Arabidopsis thaliana: one gene and its partners. The protein of the gene in region 3 purifies or fractionates together with the protein of the main gene of each other region. This does not show direct contact. Each region holds a gene or a part of one and is shown on either strand. Other genes may lie near its edges. The genes, in order: MDAR6, ATMDAR2, PGK1 and MDHAR.

Evidence for each region.
Region 1: the proteins of PGK1 (region 3) and MDAR6 fractionate together in Arabidopsis thaliana (co-fractionation; one large-scale study listed by BioGRID). This does not show direct contact.
Region 2: the proteins of PGK1 (region 3) and ATMDAR2 fractionate together in Arabidopsis thaliana (co-fractionation; one large-scale study listed by BioGRID). This does not show direct contact.
Region 4: the proteins of PGK1 (region 3) and MDHAR fractionate together in Arabidopsis thaliana (co-fractionation; one large-scale study listed by BioGRID). This does not show direct contact.

Annotation. Positions count from the first base shown.
Region 1 is NC_003070.9:23,728,097-23,734,481, reverse strand, and holds MDAR6 (monodehydroascorbate reductase 6), read right to left. Parts: upstream 4,608-6,385; 5' UTR 4,388-4,607; coding exon 4,378-4,387; exon of another isoform or gene 4,288-4,377; coding exon 4,113-4,287; intron 4,036-4,112; coding exon 3,936-4,035; intron 3,844-3,935; coding exon 3,766-3,843; intron 3,567-3,765; coding exon 3,495-3,566; intron 3,345-3,494; coding exon 3,226-3,344; intron 3,112-3,225; coding exon 3,027-3,111; intron 2,906-3,026; coding exon 2,816-2,905; intron 2,656-2,815; coding exon 2,554-2,655; intron 2,442-2,553; coding exon 2,352-2,441; intron 2,221-2,351; coding exon 2,140-2,220; intron 2,010-2,139; coding exon 1,938-2,009; intron 1,855-1,937; coding exon 1,760-1,854; intron 1,668-1,759; coding exon 1,579-1,667; coding exon of another isoform or gene 1,565-1,578; exon of another isoform or gene 1,492-1,564; coding exon 1,429-1,491; intron 1,330-1,428; coding exon 1,289-1,329; intron 1,068-1,288; coding exon 948-1,067; 3' UTR 508-947; downstream 1-507. Other genes in the region: ROH1 (uncharacterized protein), read right to left, coding at 5,308-6,385. UniProt on the Arabidopsis thaliana protein: Catalyzes the conversion of monodehydroascorbate (MDA) to ascorbate, oxidizing NADH in the process.
Region 2 is NC_003076.8:921,521-926,727, reverse strand, and holds ATMDAR2 (Pyridine nucleotide-disulfide oxidoreductase family protein), read left to right. Parts: upstream 1-1,999; 5' UTR 2,000-2,111; coding exon 2,112-2,165; intron 2,166-2,381; coding exon 2,382-2,453; intron 2,454-2,538; coding exon 2,539-2,590; intron 2,591-2,678; coding exon 2,679-2,759; intron 2,760-2,839; coding exon 2,840-2,958; intron 2,959-3,059; coding exon 3,060-3,279; intron 3,280-3,369; coding exon 3,370-3,488; intron 3,489-3,579; coding exon 3,580-3,705; intron 3,706-3,795; coding exon 3,796-3,936; intron 3,937-4,026; coding exon 4,027-4,350; 3' UTR 4,351-4,680; downstream 4,681-5,207. Other genes in the region: AT5G03620 (Subtilisin-like serine endopeptidase family protein), read right to left, coding at 4,854-5,207. UniProt on the Arabidopsis thaliana protein: Catalyzes the conversion of monodehydroascorbate to ascorbate, oxidizing NADH in the process.
Region 3 is NC_003074.8:4,060,417-4,064,944, reverse strand, and holds PGK1 (phosphoglycerate kinase 1), read left to right. Parts: upstream 1-1,638; 5' UTR 1,639-1,804; coding exon 1,805-2,224; intron 2,225-2,301; coding exon 2,302-2,379; intron 2,380-2,466; coding exon 2,467-2,727; intron 2,728-2,823; coding exon 2,824-3,141; intron 3,142-3,372; coding exon 3,373-3,531; intron 3,532-3,608; coding exon 3,609-3,818; 3' UTR 3,819-4,000; downstream 4,001-4,528. Other genes in the region: SDRB (short-chain dehydrogenase-reductase B), read left to right, coding at 188-373, 453-612, 719-891, 1,016-1,238, 1,328-1,482; AT3G12775 (ubiquitin-conjugating enzyme family protein), read right to left, coding at 4,001-4,528. UniProt on the Arabidopsis thaliana protein: May trigger the phosphorylation of FTSZ2-1 and FTSZ2-2.
Region 4 is NC_003074.8:3,055,842-3,061,197, reverse strand, and holds MDHAR (monodehydroascorbate reductase), read left to right. Parts: upstream 1-1,953; 5' UTR 1,954-2,094; coding exon 2,095-2,148; intron 2,149-2,638; coding exon 2,639-2,710; intron 2,711-2,990; coding exon 2,991-3,042; intron 3,043-3,128; coding exon 3,129-3,209; intron 3,210-3,296; coding exon 3,297-3,415; intron 3,416-3,500; coding exon 3,501-3,723; intron 3,724-3,809; coding exon 3,810-4,054; intron 4,055-4,139; coding exon 4,140-4,280; intron 4,281-4,358; coding exon 4,359-4,697; 3' UTR 4,698-4,823; downstream 4,824-5,356. Other genes in the region: AT3G09950 (uncharacterized protein), read left to right, coding at 566-844. UniProt on the Arabidopsis thaliana protein: Catalyzes the conversion of monodehydroascorbate to ascorbate, oxidizing NADH in the process. Required for producing sufficient ascorbate to maintain the interaction between Piriformospora indica and Arabidopsis in a mutualistic state.

The DNA of each region.
Region 1 (6,385 bases), on a different chromosome or scaffold from region 3:
TTTTTATTAGTCATATACCAATTTCAAATTTGTTATTAGTGAAAGAGTCATTCAATGCCTTTTTCTGTTATTGGATTTGGCATCAATTGTTTTTTTTAGTTTTACCAACATTACACGTTTGTTTGCATTTTGCAATATTTCACCCATTAAAAACCGAGGGTGTTGTTTTTGCAAAACAATGGTCTCTTGTGTTAATCCAAGAATGATGTCATATTAAAATATAGATCGAGTTAGAGAAGAGTTTATAACAGTTTTGACATCTTGGCCGAATGATTTCCCCTATCAATGATGAACCTTGGCTATCATAGATATTTACCAACCACAAGGTTCTGCAGAATCACGATTTTTTTAGTTTGTTATTCCCACCATTCCGCAAATTTATACGATTTTGCAACATTCATAACCAATCATAAAAGCCCAACCTATCATAGATTCATAACCACTTTGACACTTTCTCAATTGTAGAACTCATAGGCAGTAAATAAATTTCTATGGCGTATGAAACGCGTTTAGGCTACAAAAACCTTTTTACATGTCGCAATCAATCCCACAAGACTCTATTACGTGCCGCAAAACAAATCCTTGCGTGAATTATAACAAAGTCTTCATTATTGTTTATACAAATTTCGTTTATGGTTTACAGTCGATAAAAGAAATCTAAATAAATAAATATTTTAATGATCCACGAAACAACCCATAGATCATGAGAAAACGATCTTTATCTATCTCAGTGACTAACATAGATTTTATTAGAAACAAAGCTCTCTAATGAGCAAAATATGATTATCCCAAAAAGAGGTTATAAATTATTCGAGGAGATTATTGACAACAGTGCTCTCTATAGATCATTTTTCCAATGGAAAGATGAATAACTCTCACCGGGAATAAAAGATGTTGATTTCTCTGAACCCAAAAGCTATTAAAAAAACTCCATGAAGTTTCCTTCTCTAACTCTGTAGAGCGGCTTGAGCAATCTCGAGAGCTTCTTCGACTGAAGATGCGCTTGCGAGTTTAGCCTTATCGACAAGTGGTTGGCTTCTTGCTAGCTTTGGTAGAAGCTGGAACTCCTGTTTCAAGAGATATACATAACAATGGAAGCAATTAAAATCCATATAGTTAACATATTTACATGAAAACAAAACCCATGCTGATGTAATTGCTATTGTCAAGTTTCAATGACCGTTCCAAAATATTCTAATTTTAGTCTCGCAGATCTAAAGAAGCATGATGCTCTAAAGATTGGCTAATTCAGAATGTTAACGAGGGAGATGCTAAGAAAGACTCTTACCTCAGGCGATCCGCTTTCTACTAGAACACCTTTCAACCTGCCTGTGTTACGATAATTACTCATCAAAGTTAGTTAATTTGCTAAGCTGTGTATTTGTGCAAGGTTAACTGAAGTGAGAAAAGGCTGAAGGAATTATTTACCAGATTCAATCCAGAAGGTAGCGATTTTCGGGTCAAAGTTCCCAACCTCCACTGTTTCTCCCACTGGCCAGTATGAATCAGTGGTTTAGCTACAGTGGAAATATTGTTTGAGTAATTGGATGGCGTCATATTTAGGTCAAATAGATTTACCATTATCTCCGAAAAACTGCCACCACACTTTTCTTGGGCTTCCTTCATACTCGAATACTCTTGAGTAGAAATATGGAAGATAATCGTACCTGCAAATATTGAGCAAGACAAGAACTAATAGGTGAATATCCGTTAAGGGATACAGGCAAAGTCTACAGATCTTTCCAGGGAAGAAGCTTACGTGTCAGTGTGTGCCGTGAGTAGTGATTTCACACAGTGTTGTGCAGAGCGGCGGGCGTGATCAACATGTTCAACTCGAGTCATCCTATCATATATCTGGTCATCAGACAATAAGATGATGAGTTTGCACTTCACGAGATAATTGATGGCTTAACATATATTATCTAGCAGCAAAGTACCTTCAAAGGGAAGGCTGCGACATCTCCAATAGCAAAAATTCCAGGGGTACTTGTCCTGAACAAGCCATCGACCTGTGGTTGAAGATGAGCTCTTATCAAACTTTTAATTGTATCAACATACTGATGTAGTTTCTTGTGAAGTTCTAACTCTGAAAACCGATTATCTTGGAAAATAAATCCGGATGTTTTGTAATAATAATACCTGAATTCCTCCAATTGATTTGTTCATGGCCAAAGTTTCAAAGGGGCCAATAGCAGGCTTAGCTCCAATTCCAATTACAACCTGTAAAGTAAGGATACACAGGTCGTACAAAAGTCAGTATTACATTGACCCTTCACAGTTTTCATTTGATCAAAGTTGTTGAATTTGCATCATTTGAGAAAGAAAAAAGTGAAGCTGAGCTACAACTATACCGTGTCTGCCTCAATTGTAGACCCATCAGCAAGCTTAACAGCTGATACACGCCCATCCGAACCTGCTTCCAAGTTATTTATGGAAGCGCCCTGTTCAACAGAAAGAGAAATTCAAGTTTGCACACTGTGTTTCTGAAATTCTTAGGTTTGCAGGAAAGCAAAGGCTTCAGTATAAGGTGTTGATCGTGTGCTGATATCTTACCTTGACAAACTTAACACCATTTTGACGGTACAGTTCTTCATATTTCTGAGCAAGCGATGGAGTGAACAATCTTTGCAAAAGCTGATCTTCAGGGAATACAATCTATTGTTCCACATGGGAAAGCCCAAAAGCAACTGTAAGTTAGTACATCTGTTCCACAATTTATCTGAACGTTTCTAGGAATTTGTTTAACTCATCGAATGATTAGAAGTATTCTTCATTTCTAGCACAATTTAAAAATTCAAGTGAAAGGGATAATAACCGTTGTATCTAGATTCCACGCAACAGCTGCAGCAGCAACCTCCATGCCGATGTAGCCACCACCAACAATGACAATTTTCTTTGCCTTTCCCTGTATCACATATTGGAAGGTTATTTTGTAGCCAGGAAATTTGGATTTTTCTGATGACGCATATTACAACATTGCATTAAGATGACAAAACTGGTAACTGGTAAAAATGCCCTTAGCTTACCAGAGATGCTATCAGTGAATCAGCATCTGCAACCTCCCGAATATAGTGAACCCCTGGCAAGTGCCCACCGATTTTATCTGGGAACCTACAATAAAAATCCAGAGCAAATATTCATAATATCAGTATACATGGTTGAAAAGGCCTAGGTTCTCTGATGTTGTTTATCAATCATTGCAAAAAAAATGCGACTTTCACTCACCTTGAGGCTGTACACCCTGTAGCGATAATTAGAGATCCATATTTTAACTGCTTCCCTGCGTCTGTGGTGAGTGTTTGCTTTTCAAAATCAGCTCCAGCCACTGGATCTTCATATATTACCTGTCCAAACAAAATGCATTAGTAAGACACAAGAGAAGACCACAAATTCACCGACGTACATTCCAAGCTGTACAGTTAATCAAACCAAAGACACTTCACTTACATTCATATATTTTAGAAAACAAAACTATGTATCAGAAGATGAATTACCTCAATTCCTTTCTCCTTATACCAATCTGGTGTTTGCCTTTCTCCACCACCTCCAACGCAAGTATGAAATCCCTGCATATACGACCACCCTCAATATAAACAGAGATCACAAAACTAAATCATACAAATCTTCATATCAGTAACAATCGTAACACTGTAAACAATCTACCGGTACTCATTCCATAATGTTCATGTAGCCAATTAAGAGCAATAGCACTAAAAGAACCACTCAAATTGATCGAATCAAAACATTAAAGTTGGCAAAGCTTACTGGTAAACGAGCTGGCTTCTTCTCTGGTGGGAACAAGTAAGCTTTTGTCAAAGCCGGTCTCTCATAAGGTGCGTAAGCCTAACAATAACAACCACAAATCCAACAATCAAACAAAGTAAAACCAATAGTGTTACTGATGAAGAAAACACTAAGGGATCGATTTGAATCACCTCTTTGGTCACAATGCATAGCCGACCATCAGCCATTCCATTTTCCACAAAAGTTCTAGCAGCATAACCAGCAGCATTTCCTCCACCAACAATCACAAACCTAACACAATCACACAATCAATCGCATAGAAATTCATCAACGCCAGAATCAAAATTGGAAGAATTATATATACGAACTCGCGATTCTCGTTAGCGAACGAAGCAGTGACGAGGCTTCTGGAAGCGATTCTAGAACCGATCGGAGAAAAACGAGCGGGAAATCGGCGAGCGAGAGACGGAGAAGACGGACACCAAAGAGATAATCCGGACTTCGTCGGCAACGTGGTTGATGCTAACGCCATGACTCTACGAACTGTAACAACAGATTAGAGAGATAAGATTTCGATCTAGGGTTTTGACAATCGAGGAAGAAGATGGTGGTGAGTGAGAGAGATAAGAAGACCTGCAGACATTAGTTTATAAGAAGAGCCAAATTCAGATTTAATTATTGAAACAAGTGTGTGAGTCTCTCTGTAGTGTTGGCTCTATAACAAAGCTAAAGGGCAATGAGAGTAGTTTGAAATTTGTGAAAAGAGAGATGATTTATTGTAAAAGATGGGTAGTGAAGAATGGAGCTGACTTGTCTTGTTGCTTTTGATTCATTTGTCTTTTGACTCCGAATTTTAATATCTTTATTGACATTTAGGCTTTCAATAGAACTTGCAAGTTAATGGAACTAAACCATTAGCAGATTACACCATTCTATTTTTAGGATGGAAAACAATTCGTCGCGGACGAAGCTTATTTTTAAGTTAAAATGGTAGTTGGTCTGTGGGGATTTTTATTTTATTTTCCTAGGACAACAATCCCTAATGCATAATGTTTTACGATACCATTGTAAGGGAGCTAGAGTTAAGAGGATTTGATTGAAGTTAGTCACTCTAGCCATAATGATTTATGTTATGTCCTTCAAGCAGATTATTTCATGGATTACATAGAGGTTGTTATGCTCTTGTAGTTTAAGAGAGTTTGATGATTTAGATTTGATACAAAAAAATTGTCAACTTTTGCAGATAAAAGATGATTTTAACTTTTAAAATCCTCCATTTGCCTTCTTTGATCTCACATTCTCACTTGTGAAAGCTTCGGAGCCGTAACTAAAGGGTTCCTTCAAAAATTTAAATTGTTTTTGGATATTATGCATTAATTTAACAAAATGAAAAATGAAAAATATAAGGAGAAGGGAAAACATATGACATGGGCCTGTCCAGAGTTCTAAAAGCCCAACCATAAATAGAAAAACAACAATAGACGAAACCAAGAAAATAAAATATCCTATTAGCCCCCAAAGAATTACAAAACTTCGAAATTGATTCCCAATAATTCAAAACTTTTACACAACTGGCGCCGAAACTTTCCCGGCTTGCTCCAACACCTCGAGAATCTCCGCACGACTCCTCACGATCCTATGAAAAACTTCTCTGATCTGTTGCTGTAACGGCACAAGCTCCTCCTCCATTCTCCTGCATATCTCCGCCATCTCCGCCACTTGCACCGCCGCAGATTCAGCAGCATCTTTCTCCGCCGGATAATGAAATCCATCTGCGAATTCCATCAACGAGTGACCTAGCTTCTCCATCCTCGTCATCTCCTCCATCAATCCAGCAGATCCTTTCTTCTCTTTCTTCTTCCACTCATCTCCGATTTTCTCATGGATTCCGATCAAACTCTGAGCCCAATTCAAATGTTTCGGCGGCACTGGTAAATGATTCGCTAATCCTGATCTCTCCTGACACGGAACCGCCGCCGTTAGCACCCACATTACGAAAACCATCACCGTACTCATTATAAACATTGGTTGAGGCAATCCCGCCGCTTCGTTACCACGTGGCGGCGTAAGATTCGCTGTCATTGCGTGGATCTGCTTCGCCGCCGACCAATTTCTCCCAACCGCCCACGACGACGATTTGAGCTGACCAATCGTTGCTCCTCCTTTACTCGCCGCCGATGATCCACCGCTTCGACGACCAAACGACCACGATCTCTCCGTCGTCTTATTCCCTCCGCCGCCGCCACCACCTCCGCCGCTAACATTCTCTTTATCCTCGAGACTCAACGCGACGACGAGATTCGCCAACGCGCGTTTAGCTCTCCTCACGTTACCGTCACCTAACGGACGTTGCTCCAAAGCCGTCACAGCAATCTCAGCTAAACGCTGGTAATGTCTAACGGAATCGATACCGTTAACAACGGCGGTACAAATGTCAAGCGCTTTAATCGACCGGTCTAACATTTCAGGAACTAACCGGTCAAAAGGCGGCTTAGAAATCTGGGTCGGGTCACGACCCATTAACAAAATCGCTTTGAATTCAGCTTCGCAACAGAGGAAAACATCCATCAGCTTACGAAGCCAAGTCACGGACATAATCTGCTCCGTCGCGGCTACGGAAGCTACCGTGTTAATTTCATCT
Region 2 (5,207 bases), on a different chromosome or scaffold from region 3:
GAAATTATAATGTTTCTCTCTTGAATATTCAAAAGTTAAAATAACATTAACTTATTGAAATTTTTACTAGTTTTCTTAAAGATAAGCTGATTTTTAAAGCATTTTAAAGTATTCTTAAAGTTTAAAATGTTCGCAAATTCAGGAAGATATGGACCACAACAAATAATTTAGTAAACTTTGTATATTAATTAGGGTTGTCACCATGTTTTTTTAGGTAGAACATAGAATACTCAATACTCTCATACCGAAATAATAAAGCTTTATGTGAATCACATCCGCACGTAAAAGTGTCAACAAAATTTAAGTAACTTAATACGTGAATAATGTAACAATTGCAAATTATCACATACCCTATATTAATATCGGTCTTCTAAATAGTAACGTTGACCTTTTCTTGACTTGCTAATAAGTTTATACTATTAAGTTAAAACATCTTTCATTATGGTCAAATATTTGAGCCCTTGTGCTTAGCACTAAGTCTGCATCTAGGGTACAAGTGAAAGTTATGTTCGCATTTTTGAAAATTTATTTCTAACAACAGGTCAGTTGACTTGGGAGTTTTGGAATAATTTGTAATATTGTATATGGATCCAACAAAGTGAGTACTTCATAAAAACTATTCGTGGGTATTCTTCGAAATCTGATAGATCGGACCGGCCCATTAACAGAAGCCCGTCAATATCTATAACCACAACAAAAGTAACCGATGAATTTAGTCAGTCATTTAGATCCTTTCTTCTACATGGTTGTCACTTGTCACTGTAAGAAGTATTCGTCATCCTAGCATCTTCCAAGAAGATTTAGTAACAAATGTCAAAATCATGCATGCAGTAAACTAAAAATAGTACTCTTTGTATTCGAGTGCTAATTACTAATCTTCCAAGAAGATTGGTAACAAATGTCAAAATCATAAGGAATAATTATAATACAAAGTACATTTTAACTTATTAACATATGTCAAAATCAATAGGGTACTTTTGATACGTCCGGTAAATTAGTGTTCTAGTACAGCCCTATCTCTGTTCTTTTCTCATTAAATTGGATTTGAAACTCTCATTATTGTAGGCATGGAAGAGTTTTAGGCCGCCAAGGTCCACATCATTAATAGTTTAGGTCTTTAATACAGTGACATTACATCATTAATATTTAGGTCCCAATTTCTGGAAATTCTATCTGGTTGGAATTTAGGTCATCATTCTTGACAATTTTTTCTCCTCTTTTGACTAAAATCCAAATCATCTTTCCTCTCAAAACTATTAATGTAATACTCTTATTCACATTAGGTCATATGTTAATGTTATTGTAATATACTAATTATACAAAACTAGGTAGTTTCTTTCTTTACTGTAGTAGATCTTAAAACATAAGATAACGACATAAATCATTTAGATTATTAGTAGTTTGATTAATTACTATAATTTATGGTCTTAAGGTTATTCATCTTTGTTTATGCAAACAAAATCATATGATTAGTGTAGTAAATACATATCCTTTTTGTACTATCGGGTTTAGGGATCAAGATAAGGTCCTTGTTTTAACTGTCTTTACATTATATCCAAATAAATTATGGAAATGATTCACTGACACAAATAATCGAATTAAACTTAAAGTCTTAAACTATACATAAAACTACAGATTGGTCTAATAAAGAAATTAAAACCAACCAACAACTCCATAAAGATATTCTACTATATTCATCAATTTGACTAGTGGTTGCTGACACTAGATTTATGATTCCTTTCATATATTTTCTCTTGGTAATTGGTATGTAAATAAAATTCTCCAAATATGAAAGACTGAAAGTGAAATGTAATCAGTAAACCGAGTAATACCGGAATTTTAAATCTGAATGTCCGTTTTACATCGACCAGATCTGTCACGTGTTAAATAAGACCGGGTCAAAAATATAAGACGCTGACTTGTAACGGTTCGATTTCGATTTGTGCACGAAGCGGGATATCTAACGGTTTAAATTAAGCCACGTTTAAAGATTCCTTCTATACTGGACAAAGTCCCCTATAAAAACCTCTGACCCAATCACATTTCTCGGATCCAAAAAGACGAAGAAAAGGAAAAAAGACAAATCAAAGAGAGACGATTCGATCGCATCAATGGCAGAAGAAAAGAGCTTCAAGTATGTGATCGTCGGAGGTGGTGTCGCCGCCGTAAGTCTCTCTCTGTTCTTCTTCTTCATCGGATTTGTTTTTTTTCCTCAATCTCTTCGCTTACGAATCATCACACTGTACTACTGCTCATTTGTATCCTTATCACTCTGAGAAGTAGAGTAGATTGTATCGCTAGATCTAGTGATTTCTATGATTACGGGAAGATAGGAACTAGATTCCCAATTTATTGTTGTTTTGGGATGTTGTGATTCACAGGGATACGCGGCGAGAGAGTTCTTCAACCAAGGTGTCAAGCCTGGTGAACTTGCTATCATTTCCAGGGAACAAGTAAGTTTTCATGACTTGGAACTAAATTTAAGCTAGATTCTTGTCTTGTTATTTATAGTATTGGCAATTTTTTGGTGTTAATTAGGTTCCTCCATATGAGCGTCCTGCACTTAGCAAGGGATATATCCACCTCGAAAGTAAAAACTTCATTCTACATCATTTGGAGATTTAGTTTAGTCTGTGCGTGGTTTCTGAATTAGATTTGTTTGTTCTTATGGTATATAGATAAAGCTACACTTCCGAATTTCTATGTTGCTGCTGGAATTGGGGGAGAGAGACAGTTCCCTCAATGGTACAAAGAGAAAGGTGAGTTTCCTTTTTTTTTGTGCTTTAAGCGTTTTTTTAGCTCAATGTCTCTCATTCATTCTCATATGTCGTTTCTGCAGGTATTGAGCTGATTTTGGGCACAGAGATTGTCAAAGCAGATCTTGCTGCGAAGACACTTGTCAGTGGGACTGGACAAGTCTTCAAGTACCAAACTTTGCTAGCTGCAACTGGTTCTTCTGTGAGCACAATCTATCCTTGCACTTCTTACTTTGGAAGTTTCCATTTTTAGTCTCTTTTTTCTTTTTGCATCTCTTCTAAGGAATTTCTTAAATTGTGTAGGTCATAAGGTTGTCAGATTTTGGCGTCCCAGGTGCAGATGCTAAGAATATATTCTACCTGAGAGAACTCGAAGATGCTGATTACCTTGCTTATGCAATGGAAACAAAGGAAAAAGGAAAGGCTGTGGTTGTTGGTGGCGGTTACATCGGTCTTGAACTCGGTGCTGCTCTGAAGGCTAACAACCTCGACGTTACCATGGTTTATCCAGAACCTTGGTGCAGTAAGTTGATACAAGCCAAACCACTACCATAGAATTCTCATCGTATTCCCTTTGCTTAACACCTTTCCTTTTTGTTGTGTCTTTGAAAAGTGCCTCGGCTTTTCACCGCTGGCATTGCTTCCTTCTACGAGGGTTACTATGCCAACAAAGGAATTAACATTGTCAAAGGCACTGTTGCATCTGGTTTCACTACCAACTCAAATGGAGAGGTTAGCAATTAGCATCACCGTTCAAACTTGACAAACAGCAGTTTTTCTCTCCGCTGCTTCAACAATATCTCTCTGTTGCTTAATGATGCAGGTCACTGAGGTGAAATTGAAAGACGGAAGAACGTTAGAAGCTGATATTGTGATAGTGGGTGTCGGTGGTAGACCAATTATATCACTCTTCAAAGATCAAGTTGAAGAAGAGAAGGGTGGTTTGAAGGTTTGTGACTTGCATACTCCATTTTCTTCTGTATCTGAGATATAGTTCTTATTATTATTGTTTACTCATGAGATCTTTCTTTGATTGCAGACTGATGGGTTCTTCAAAACAAGCCTTCCAGATGTATACGCCATTGGTGATGTAGCCACCTTCCCAATGAAACTCTACAATGAAATGAGACGCGTTGAACACGTTGACCATGCTCGCAAATCCGCTGAACAAGCCGTAAAGGTAATAATTATAATGCTTCTTCAACCTGTCTTAATGAAGGAGCTGTATAAAATCATCCTAATTGAATCGATTGATATAATGATTTTGTAGGCAATCAAGGCGGCTGAGGAAGGGAACTCAATTCCGGAATATGACTATCTTCCATACTTTTACTCTCGAGCCTTTGATCTCTCATGGCAATTCTACGGTGACAACGTTGGAGAAAGCGTATTGTTTGGGGACAATGACCCGGAATCGCCAAAGCCGAAATTCGGGAGCTACTGGATTAAAGAACGGAAAGTGGTTGGAGCATTTTTAGAAGGTGGAAGTCCTGAAGAGAACAATGCAATTGCTAAACTTGCACGAGCACAACCTTCTGTTGAGAGCCTTGAAGTGCTATCTAAGGAAGGCCTTTCCTTCGCCACAAATATATAAATTGCCTTTCTAGGTTGTGTGTTAGTGTGAGCTTTGAGTTCAGAGTGGCTTTTATGTCACTTTGCTATTATGATAGCAGAGTCGACATTTTTGTTATTTGTTTGACCCACTTTCTTGTGATTGTTTGGTTCCAAAATAAAATTGAAAGCTACTCAATTCACTTTTCTGATATTTCTTTCTTCGAAAATGGTACACCAAACTTGTTGGAAACATTTCAGTCACTTTTCTCGGATCCGGCGTTACAAAAACCTTGTCTTCATATGAGTTTTTTATGTCCAAATTTTGTAGACATTTTTACTAACTTGTTGGAGATTGGTCCTTCTCCAACAACACTATTCAAGTTTTAATTCGACTAAAGTTTGGGAGAATTATTGTATATGTTCCTATTTATTTCAACACTAAAAAGGAGAAAAAAAACAACACTAGAAATAGAAATCATAACCAAACACTAAAAAACAAAAAACAAACAAACAAGGGTCTAAAAAAAAGCAGTCTTGTCTTTTTTAACGGTAATCGTTATCCGATCGAAACAACAGAATTGGACTTCTCACAAGATGTCCTCTCGAATCATCCCATTCCACAGAAGCAGACACAATCCCTTTCATTGTCTCATCCCAAACTCCATCAATCACAACCTTAAAATTCCTCTTCTCTTTAGGCCTCTCGAAACTCATAACCTTAGGCACAACCTCAACTCTCAAACCCTTCGGTGCCCAAACCCTAGCCACGTAGGTCGATGGTCCGTATCCGACATTCGTCACTGTTCTATAGAAAACTTCCGACACTTTCGCTTCCGTAGAATTCACTTGCTTGTGCAGTGACGGATAATTTAACCCGTCGGAACCTAACCCTCGCTT
Region 3 (4,528 bases):
TAGTAGAAAGATAATGAATTTGTAATTTGGCACTAAAAATAGGGAGATATTTAAAGTAAAGTTTGGTTAGTAGGTGAAGAGGTCCAAGTAATAAGAAGAAGAGACAGACACGCGACTGGCTCCTTTTATTTTATTTTATTTTGTCTTAAAGCTTTTGGCGAGTTTGCTTGTGTGTGAGTGTGTGGTTATGGACTCTCCGTTCAAACCTGATGTCGTCAGAGGTCAAGTGGCTCTCATCACCGGTGGTGGATCCGGTATCGGTTTTGAGATCTCTTCTCAGTTTGGCAAACATGGAGCTTCTATCGCTATCATGGGACGACGAAAACAAGTCCTCGATGACGCCGTCTCTGCTCTTCGATCTCTTGGAATCCAGGTAATCAGCGATTTTTGTTTTGAGGACTTTGTTTGTTGGATATGTGTTTGAATCTGTCTGATTTCTGTTTCGTTTGAAGGCTATTGGATTGGAAGGTGATGTTCGTAAGCAAGAAGATGCGAGAAGAGTTGTGGAAGCAACTTTTCAGCATTTTGGTAAACTTGATATTCTTGTTAACGCCGCTGCTGGCAATTTTCTGGCTGCTGCTGAGGATTTGTCTCCTAATGGCTTCAGAACAGGTTCCTTTTTCGTTTTCTCATTAATTTGATCATGATCTGAGAAGAATTATGCCTGAAAGTTTGTCAATTTAGCTCAAGGAAACGTTTTTTTGTTGTGCATGTGCAGTCTTAGACATTGATGCGGTAGGAACATTCAACATGTGTCACGCAGCTCTCAAGTATCTTAAGAAAGGAGCGCCTGGAAGAGACTCATCAAGCGGTGGAGGTTCGATTATTAACATTAGCGCGACTTTGCACTACACGGCTTCTTGGTACCAAATACATGTCTCTGCAGCCAAGGTAATTTGATTAGTCTGATAGAGTCATTCAATGTCTTGAGTTTTGGTTAGAGAATCAAGAACTAAGTAATAGGAACAAAAGATGTAGCAAAAATGTGATCTTAGGAGTTTGAAACTTGAAACAGGCTGCAGTTGATGCTACCACAAGAAACTTGGCATTGGAGTGGGGAACTGACTATGATATTAGAGTGAACGGGATTGCTCCAGGTCCTATTGGAGGTACACCTGGAATGAGTAAACTTGTACCTGAGGAGATTGAAAACAAAACCAGAGAGTACATGCCTCTTTATAAAGTTGGAGAGAAGTGGGATATCGCTATGGCTGCACTCTACCTCAGCTGTGATTCTGGTATGCTGAGTTAAATAAAGCACACTCTTTAATATAAAACATATATACATGGTTAGATGATGTAACTCATTGCTTGATTTGTTTAACAGGGAAATATGTGAGCGGACTAACAATGGTGGTAGATGGAGGACTGTGGCTTAGCAAACCTCGCCACTTGCCTAAAGAAGCGGTGAAGCAACTCTCTCGTGCGGTGGAGAAGAGGTCTAGGGCCAAGCCTGTTGGTCTCCCAACCAGCAAGCTGTAGATCATTTGAATTTCAGATATCAAATAAGTGCACATTGAAAAAATGTTTTGGTTTATTGAATTACATTGGAGACTGAGAAAATGGTATTAAGATTATGTAGATCAAACTATCTTATGCACAATAAAGTAGCTTTCTTTGCAAAAGAGGCAAAACAGTAACGAATATATGATCAAAAAGATAATCGCTTTTGAACCTCTCATCAGTGATAAGAGAGAAATATTCCAAACTCATAAAATCTCAAATGGCTAATAAATAAGAACATTGTGAGTCACTCTCTCTGTTTCTCATCTCCTCATCTTTTTATCTTCTTTGATTGATCCACATGGCTTCCGCTGCCGCAAGTTCCGCCTTTTCACTCCTTAAGTCCACCGGCGCTGTTGCTTCCTCCGCCGGAACTCGCGCACGTGCCTCCCTTCTGCCAATTCCCTCTACCTCTGTTTCCGCGCGTCCTCTAGGCTTCTCCGCCACTCTAGATTCCCGTCGTTTCTCTCTCCACGTTGCTTCCAAAGTTGAATCGGTGCGTGGGAAGGGAAGCAGAGGAGTGGTTTCTATGGCGAAGAAGAGCGTCGGAGATCTGACCTCAGCTGATTTGAAGGGGAAGAAGGTTTTCGTGAGAGCTGATCTCAATGTACCTCTCGATGATAATCAGACTATCACTGACGATACCAGAATCCGTGCCGCCATTCCAACGATCAAGTATTTGATTGAAAATGGTGCTAAAGTTATCCTCTCCACTCATCTGGTAATATTATTCCCACACACTCCTTACGTTTGATTCCTCCATCACCTGAACTAAAGTTGAACACTTTGATCTTTCAGGGAAGGCCAAAGGGAGTCACCCCAAAGTTTAGTTTGGCTCCTCTTGTCCCTAGGCTCTCCGAGCTTCTTGGTATTGAGGTAAAGTCCGTGATTTGTCTCAGTAATCAATCATCTACCTATGAGAATCAATCACTTGAGACAGCTTATTGATGGTGAATTTTGCAGGTCACGAAAGCTGATGATTGTATTGGCCCAGAAGTGGAAAGCTTGGTGGCTTCTCTACCTGAAGGTGGAGTTTTGCTTCTTGAGAACGTCAGGTTTTACAAGGAGGAAGAGAAGAACGATCCTGAGTTTGCTAAGAAGCTTGCTTCTCTAGCTGACCTTTATGTCAATGATGCTTTCGGAACTGCTCACAGAGCTCATGCTTCTACCGAAGGAGTCACTAAGTTCTTGAAGCCTTCAGTTGCTGGTTTCCTTTTGCAAAAGGTAATATTTTGATAGAGATTATTCTATTCAGCATTGAAGCATCGTTGCTACAAATGGTACCATGAACTTTTTGTTTACTTCTCTCTACCTCTATAGGAACTGGACTACCTAGTTGGTGCTGTTTCAAACCCAAAGAGACCATTTGCAGCCATAGTGGGTGGTTCCAAAGTCTCATCCAAGATTGGAGTTATTGAATCGCTTCTGGAGAAGTGTGATATTCTTCTTCTTGGTGGTGGAATGATCTTCACATTCTACAAGGCACAGGGTCTTTCAGTTGGTTCGTCCCTTGTTGAAGAAGACAAGCTTGAATTGGCTACAGAACTCCTTGCCAAAGCTAAGGCCAAAGGAGTCTCTCTTTTGTTGCCAACAGATGTTGTAGTTGCTGACAAGTTTGCTCCTGATGCCAACAGCAAGGTCTGTCTCTCTCATTTTGCAATTGCGTAATGCTTGGCAGTTTTAATTCTATATGTGTGCCTTATAAAAGAAAAATGAGAAGTAGGTGTTGTTAGTTATGTTCCTGTTTAAGCATGATGTTCTGTGTTGATGATCATCCTAAAGGAGATAGATGAGAGAATAGAATTGATTAATATTGATCTTGCTAGAGCTTTGTGTTCTGAGTAAAGTATGTCATGTGGATGTTTGTAGATTGTGCCTGCATCAGGCATTGAGGACGGATGGATGGGACTGGACATTGGTCCAGACTCTATCAAAACTTTCAACGAAGCTCTGGACACAACACAAACAGTCATTTGGAATGGACCTATGGGAGTTTTCGAGATGGAAAAGTTTGCGGCTGGAACAGAGGTAAGAAAATGATTCCTCATAGAGTAAACAAATGGTAGATGAAAATTAGATTAAGTTTGGGATTATGGTTGTTGCAGGCGATAGCGAATAAACTAGCAGAGCTAAGTGAAAAAGGAGTGACAACGATAATAGGAGGAGGAGACTCAGTGGCTGCAGTGGAGAAAGTAGGAGTAGCAGGAGTCATGAGTCACATCTCCACTGGTGGTGGAGCCAGCTTGGAGCTGTTGGAAGGAAAAGTACTTCCCGGTGTGATCGCCCTTGATGAAGCAATCCCAGTCACTGTTTAGAAACTCTTACCATCTATAAGGCAAACGCTGTATACTTAAAAGAGTTTCTTTCGCTTTAAATCTACCTATGCAAAACTTTACTATGTATCAGAGTCTCATTCCCCGGAAAAGAAAACTCACATATTAAAATTCTGAAAAAAAATATCAAGAGATAAGAAAAGACATGGACCAGACACTAGTAATCAATCAAAAGACACAGACAAGTACTTGTTCCAAAAGCTTTTGGAAGTCTTCTTGATACCATCATCCCTTTGAGTGTAGGTTGGGTAGTTGGAAGATGATGAGCCATAGTAGTAATCGCTTAATGTATACTCTTTCTCCTTCAATTTCTCCAGCTCTGCTTTCAGATCACTGTTGAGAATCTGCTCACAATAAACTTTATTGCCTTCAAACGCAAAGTACATCTTCCAGAACATTTTCTTGTCCCTCTCTTCCTCCATATCAAACTCTTGCAGCATGTTCCGCAGAATCAAAGGCCCCTTCTTCCTAAAATACCCTATTACGAAATCTTGAAACCCCGCGAGTGGCCGTTCCAGGATATCTAGCATCTGGTTACATGACTTGTTAGTGTTCATCAACACAATCTCTTGAATGTGGAGAAACACATCTACGATGTTGTAGCAGTGCTTATCTCTCAGTGACTTTTGGTCTTCAGGAGTACTCAAACGAAGGTCATACGGATGGTAATAGAAACTCGGTGCTTGATATGG
Region 4 (5,356 bases), 1.0 Mb from region 3:
TTCATTAATTCTCTTACGTTTTCTGGTTTGTGTAAATAATATACATTCTTTTTCTTTGGGCAAAAATATAATATTCATTCTTAAACGGAAAGTAACATGGTATAATTGAATGAGACGGTGACGTATATACAGCCAGACTGCAGTAATAATATTCGTGAATCGTGATTATAAATTCATAATTACGTACATCTCCTTCTTAATTAACTTACTCACGCAATTCCATTCATGGCTAAAATAATGTGCTCTTCACCAAACGTTACTAACTTACCAATTTTATACACACATCATCTTTTCTTTTGATAAAAGCTCTTCCCCTTTGTGGTATTGTTCTTAATTACGATAAATATCTTCAATGATTAAAACCCAATTCATTCCCCTTGTTGCTTCTTTAATCGAACTCATGAGGTGGCTTATATAAATGGTATAATTAATGTGGATTAAAATTGTACCCTTTAATTCATGTAATGTGTCATTTCCGTTTCTTCACGTAATCTCACCGTAATCTCTATATATAAGCACACAAGCAACACAATCGATCATAAACCAAAAAAAACGAGAGAGAGAGATGGGGAAGGGGGGTTGGCTTCTTAACTTTCTGAACCATGCCAAAAATCAAGAAAGTGTGGAGAATCTTGACAAAAACGGTGCCGTAAAGGCCCCAAGCAGTGGGTTTAAGATGCCGTTGCATTACCCAAGATACACAAAGGAGGATTATGAAGAGATGGAAGAGTGGAGATTGGATTTGCTTCTCTCGGAATACGGACTTCTTGCCTTCCATGACAATACTCTCCATGAGAAGCGAGCTTTTGCAATCGACACTTTTATATGGCCTCATCACCCATAATTTCATCTCCTTCATTTATCTTGTTTATATTTCTTAAGAGTAACGGAGATTGTAGAGATACAACATTGGAAGAGATGACAAAAACCGGGATATCAATCTACCGGATATATATGTCACAAAAAGATTTTAGTATATTTTTAGTAATTTGATTTCTACTATATTCTTTAGTTTTCATTAGATCTCTTTATGTTATGTTATCTATATAAGTTTGGCTTTGGATTTTGCATATATTAACCTTTCCGTTCAATAAAATATAGTTTTACCGCTTCTTATGGTATCAAAGCCTTCATCCAAAACTTACTCAAATGAGATTGACTCTCATGTTAAAACAGAGAAAAACAGAGAAAAAACAAAAGATCATTAAAGTCACTATATAAACATCATGATTCATCTCCATCTCCACCCTTAATTTCTTTACTAGTCCGTTCGTTCTCGCCACTATTGTTGTCCGTGATTGTACTTCTTCATAAGCATCACTGAGGAAGCAAATTCTAAAACAATAGTATCTTTTAACAATCATAAAGTAAAACAGTTTTTTTTTTTTTGTTCTTATATATATACTACTTATTACACATTTAAACTTTGGTTTTGAACAGTGAAAATGTTGCTTGCAATTTTTTTAACTTTGTAGAAATCAGGCAAGTTCTTAAGTTGACAAATGACATATACTAGTAATTTTCACGAACGTTATCCCACTAAAGTAGTCATACCCAAAACAAAATTGTTTAAATAAAAGTAACTTAATTATATCATTGAGATTCGAGTGAATAATGCCAATGAAATTTAATATTCATTATCTGACACTCTGAAACTATGATTAACTACATAATTATTTAATTTAACGTTTGTACCAGCTAATAGTATACACGTTTTTATGACAAACATTTTTGAATTTTTTGAGTTAAAAAATAATAATGGTTTTCGTCGTAATAGGAGAGGACAGACAATTCCAACGTGATATGTACGTTTATCATGTTACTTAGTCAGCAGATCATTTCTTCGGATTATATAATAGCTATTTAGAAACATTAAAGGTGTGGATTATATTATAGTCAAGTCTTTCCAATATGAATATTATATCATCCACCAATACATAATTATTGTCAAATACAAGTTGAGTCAGATTAGTCAAATACAGGCAACCAAGACTCGAGATCCTCATCGTCTCTCCACTTTATATAAACCCCAAGTCAGTACTTCTCATAATATACCAAAAACGAAACTGAGAAAGAAGTTTTATTTATTAATTAATGGCGGAAGAGAAAAGCTACAAGTACGTGATCATTGGAGGTGGTGTAGCCGGCGTAAGTAAATGCATTTTCAATTTTGAACTTTTCTTTTGACAACAACATATCTTTTATCAAGTTTAAATTCGATTGTAACACAACAACAACAACAACAATAACACTAATACAAACCAGTAAATTACATGTTTTGCCCAACATTTTTATCAACTCGCATTGTTCAGTTTTGTAGATGATGAGACTTTTTTTGTTGACTCTGTTTTTTTTTTGTTTTTTTTTTTGGCTTAAGAATCATTGTTCAGTTTGTGTTCATTCTTTGCTTACAAATCATCGCTTATTTCGCATCCGTGCTTTGCTTACGAATTCCTTTCTCTAACTCTCTGTTATTTTACTCTCACTTTTACATGTAAATCCCTTTATGCTTATTAAGTTATTATACACAAGAAATTGTTTATGATTTTCTTCTATTAAATGTTATTCATGTAACGAATACGCATCTCTCTGAATTGACTTTTTTTTTTTTTTTTTTTTGGGCATTTCGGAATCACAGGGTTACGCGGCGAGAGAGTTTAGTAATCAGGGCCTGAAGCCTGGTGAACTCGCAATCATTTCCAAGGAACCAGTACGTTTTTTCACTCTTATGACTTATGAGCGTTTGCATGTTACAATTTGGTGTTTTGCTTTTCCAAATAATAATACCACTACTTTTTTTGTTTGCAAACGTCAATTGAAAACACAAATACAAGCGCAAACTCTGGTTGCATTTGCATTTGCGTCTCAAGTTTATGAAAACTATTTTTAGAAAGTCGAAATAATTAAAGCCATCCTTAATATTTGATTGTCTAGTCTGAAAATTGATGTTGAAGTCCATAACCATGTTTTTTTTGTGTGTGTGTCAATAGGTGCCTCCTTTTGAGCGTCCTGAACTAACCAAGGTATATATTGACCTCGAAGGTAAACCTTTTAACTCTAAAACATCTCTGTCAATGGATATATTTTAATTGCTATCGGATTTTGGTTAACTTTGATCATCATTACAGTCAATCCGACCCTTGCAAATATCTATGTTTGTGCTGGAACTGGAGAAGCGAAGCAGTACCCTAACTGGTACAAAGAGAAAGGTAATGTTTTGTTTATGTCTTCTCCGAGAAATCTCTGTGATTTCACTTGCAATATATTTGGTGATCTGAGATATTCAAATTTTACAGGGATTGATCTAATTGTGGGCACAGAGATAGTCAAAGCAGATCTTGCTTCAAAGACACTTGTTAGTGATGATGGCAAAATTTACAAGTACCAAACTTTGCTAATTGCAACCGGTTCTACTGTGAGTAAAATACTTATGATCTCTTCCTCTCTCTTTCTGTTCTTTGTTCTTAGTTCATCTCGAGAAACTCTAATATTTTTTGCAGAACATAAGATTGTCAGAAATTGGCGTCCAAGAAGCAGATGTTAAGAATATATTCTACCTAAGAGAAATCGAGGATAGTGATGAGCTTGCCTTGGCTATGGAACTATATGTGCAAAGGGGAAAGGCCGTCATCATTGGCGGCGGTTTCTTAGGGCTTGAGATAAGTTCTGCTCTAAGGGCTAATAATCATGAAGTGACCATGGTTTTTCCAGAACCTTGGCTTGGTAAGTTGATACTTAACAAAAAACATTTTAGCTAAATAATTACACTGTATTCGTAACAGATTTTCCTCTGTTTTATCGTTGTATAGTACACCGGTTTTTCACCGCTGAGATAGCTTCATTCTATGAGAGTTACTATGCCAACAAGGGAATCAAAATCATCAAGGGAACTGTAGCAACTGGATTTAGCACCAACTCAGATGGAGAGGTCACTGAGGTGAAACTAGAGGATGGAAGAACCCTAGAAGCTAACATAGTTGTCGCTGGTGTCGGTGCTAGACCGGCCACCTCACTCTTCAAAGGCCAACTTGAAGAGGAGAAGGGTGGAATAAAGGTTTATGATTTACCCTACCGGCGAAAAACAGAGCTCTTGTCAATTACCATAATTAGTGATTAATGATTATTCGTTTTGATTGTAGACTGATGGGTTCTTCAAAACAAGTGTGCCTGATGTATACGCACTTGGAGATGTAGCCACATTCCCAATGAAAATGTATGGCGGGACGAGGCGTGTTGAACACGCCGACAATGCTCGCAAATCTGCTGCACAAGCAGTCAAAGTACGAGCATTTACTAGCTTGATTCTATAGTCGAATATACCAAACTCTTCTATATATACTAATGATGGTGTTTTGCAGGCAATCAAAGCGGGTGAAGAAGGGAAAACGATCCCAGATTACGATTATCTTCCCTATTTCTACTCTCGATTTTTCAAACTATCGTGGGAATTCTATGGGGAAAACGTTGGAGAATCTGTACTGTTTGGAGATAATGACCCGAAATCTCCAAAGCCAAAGTTTGGGACGTATTGGGTTAAAGATGGGAAAGTAGTAGGAGTGTTCCTAGAAGGAGGTACTCAAGAGGAACACAAGGCTATTGCTAAAGTGGCACGAGCACAACCTTCCGTTGAGAGTCTTGACGTGTTATCCGAGGAAGGCCTTTCTTTCGCCACCAAGTTCTATAGCACCTCTCTTTGAGACATTGGGTCTTGTTTAGTCACATTGATGTAATAATCTCCTTTGTCTTTGATTTCATATCGAGCCCCTATTGTATTTCGAAAAATAAATTAAATATAATAATGCATTTTGTTTGGATTATCAAAACATTGGATTTTAAGTTCTTTCATTCGTCATGATAGACATTCAGTTTTGGATGCACATGAACACATGGCATTGGTCATGCTTTTGATGACACTTTGAGTCAGACCAAAATTGTCACATTTTAAAAAAAAAGTCAAAACACAACTGAAACTTTAAATTTTTTGAGAATCAACTATCAATTACACACATAATTCAACGTCAATTTAATTCATAAGTAATATAACACATGTACTACCAAATCACACCCAATATTCGCTAACTTTTTTTTTTAACAACAGAATCGTGCTTCTCACGAGATGCCTTCTCGAATTATCCCATGTCACGGAAGTTGATATCATCTCAATCTTCGAAACCCTAATCTCCTGCTTTATCAAAACCCAGGAAATGCTTATCTCTCTCCAAGCCCCACCAATCTCAAACCCTCGGCAAGATCTCCACTTTCAACCCTTCCTCTGCCCACACCCTAGCCACGTAGATATTCGTCACTGTCGGGTAAAAAATCGCCAACGCTTCGATCGTCTCCTCTGTCGTATGAC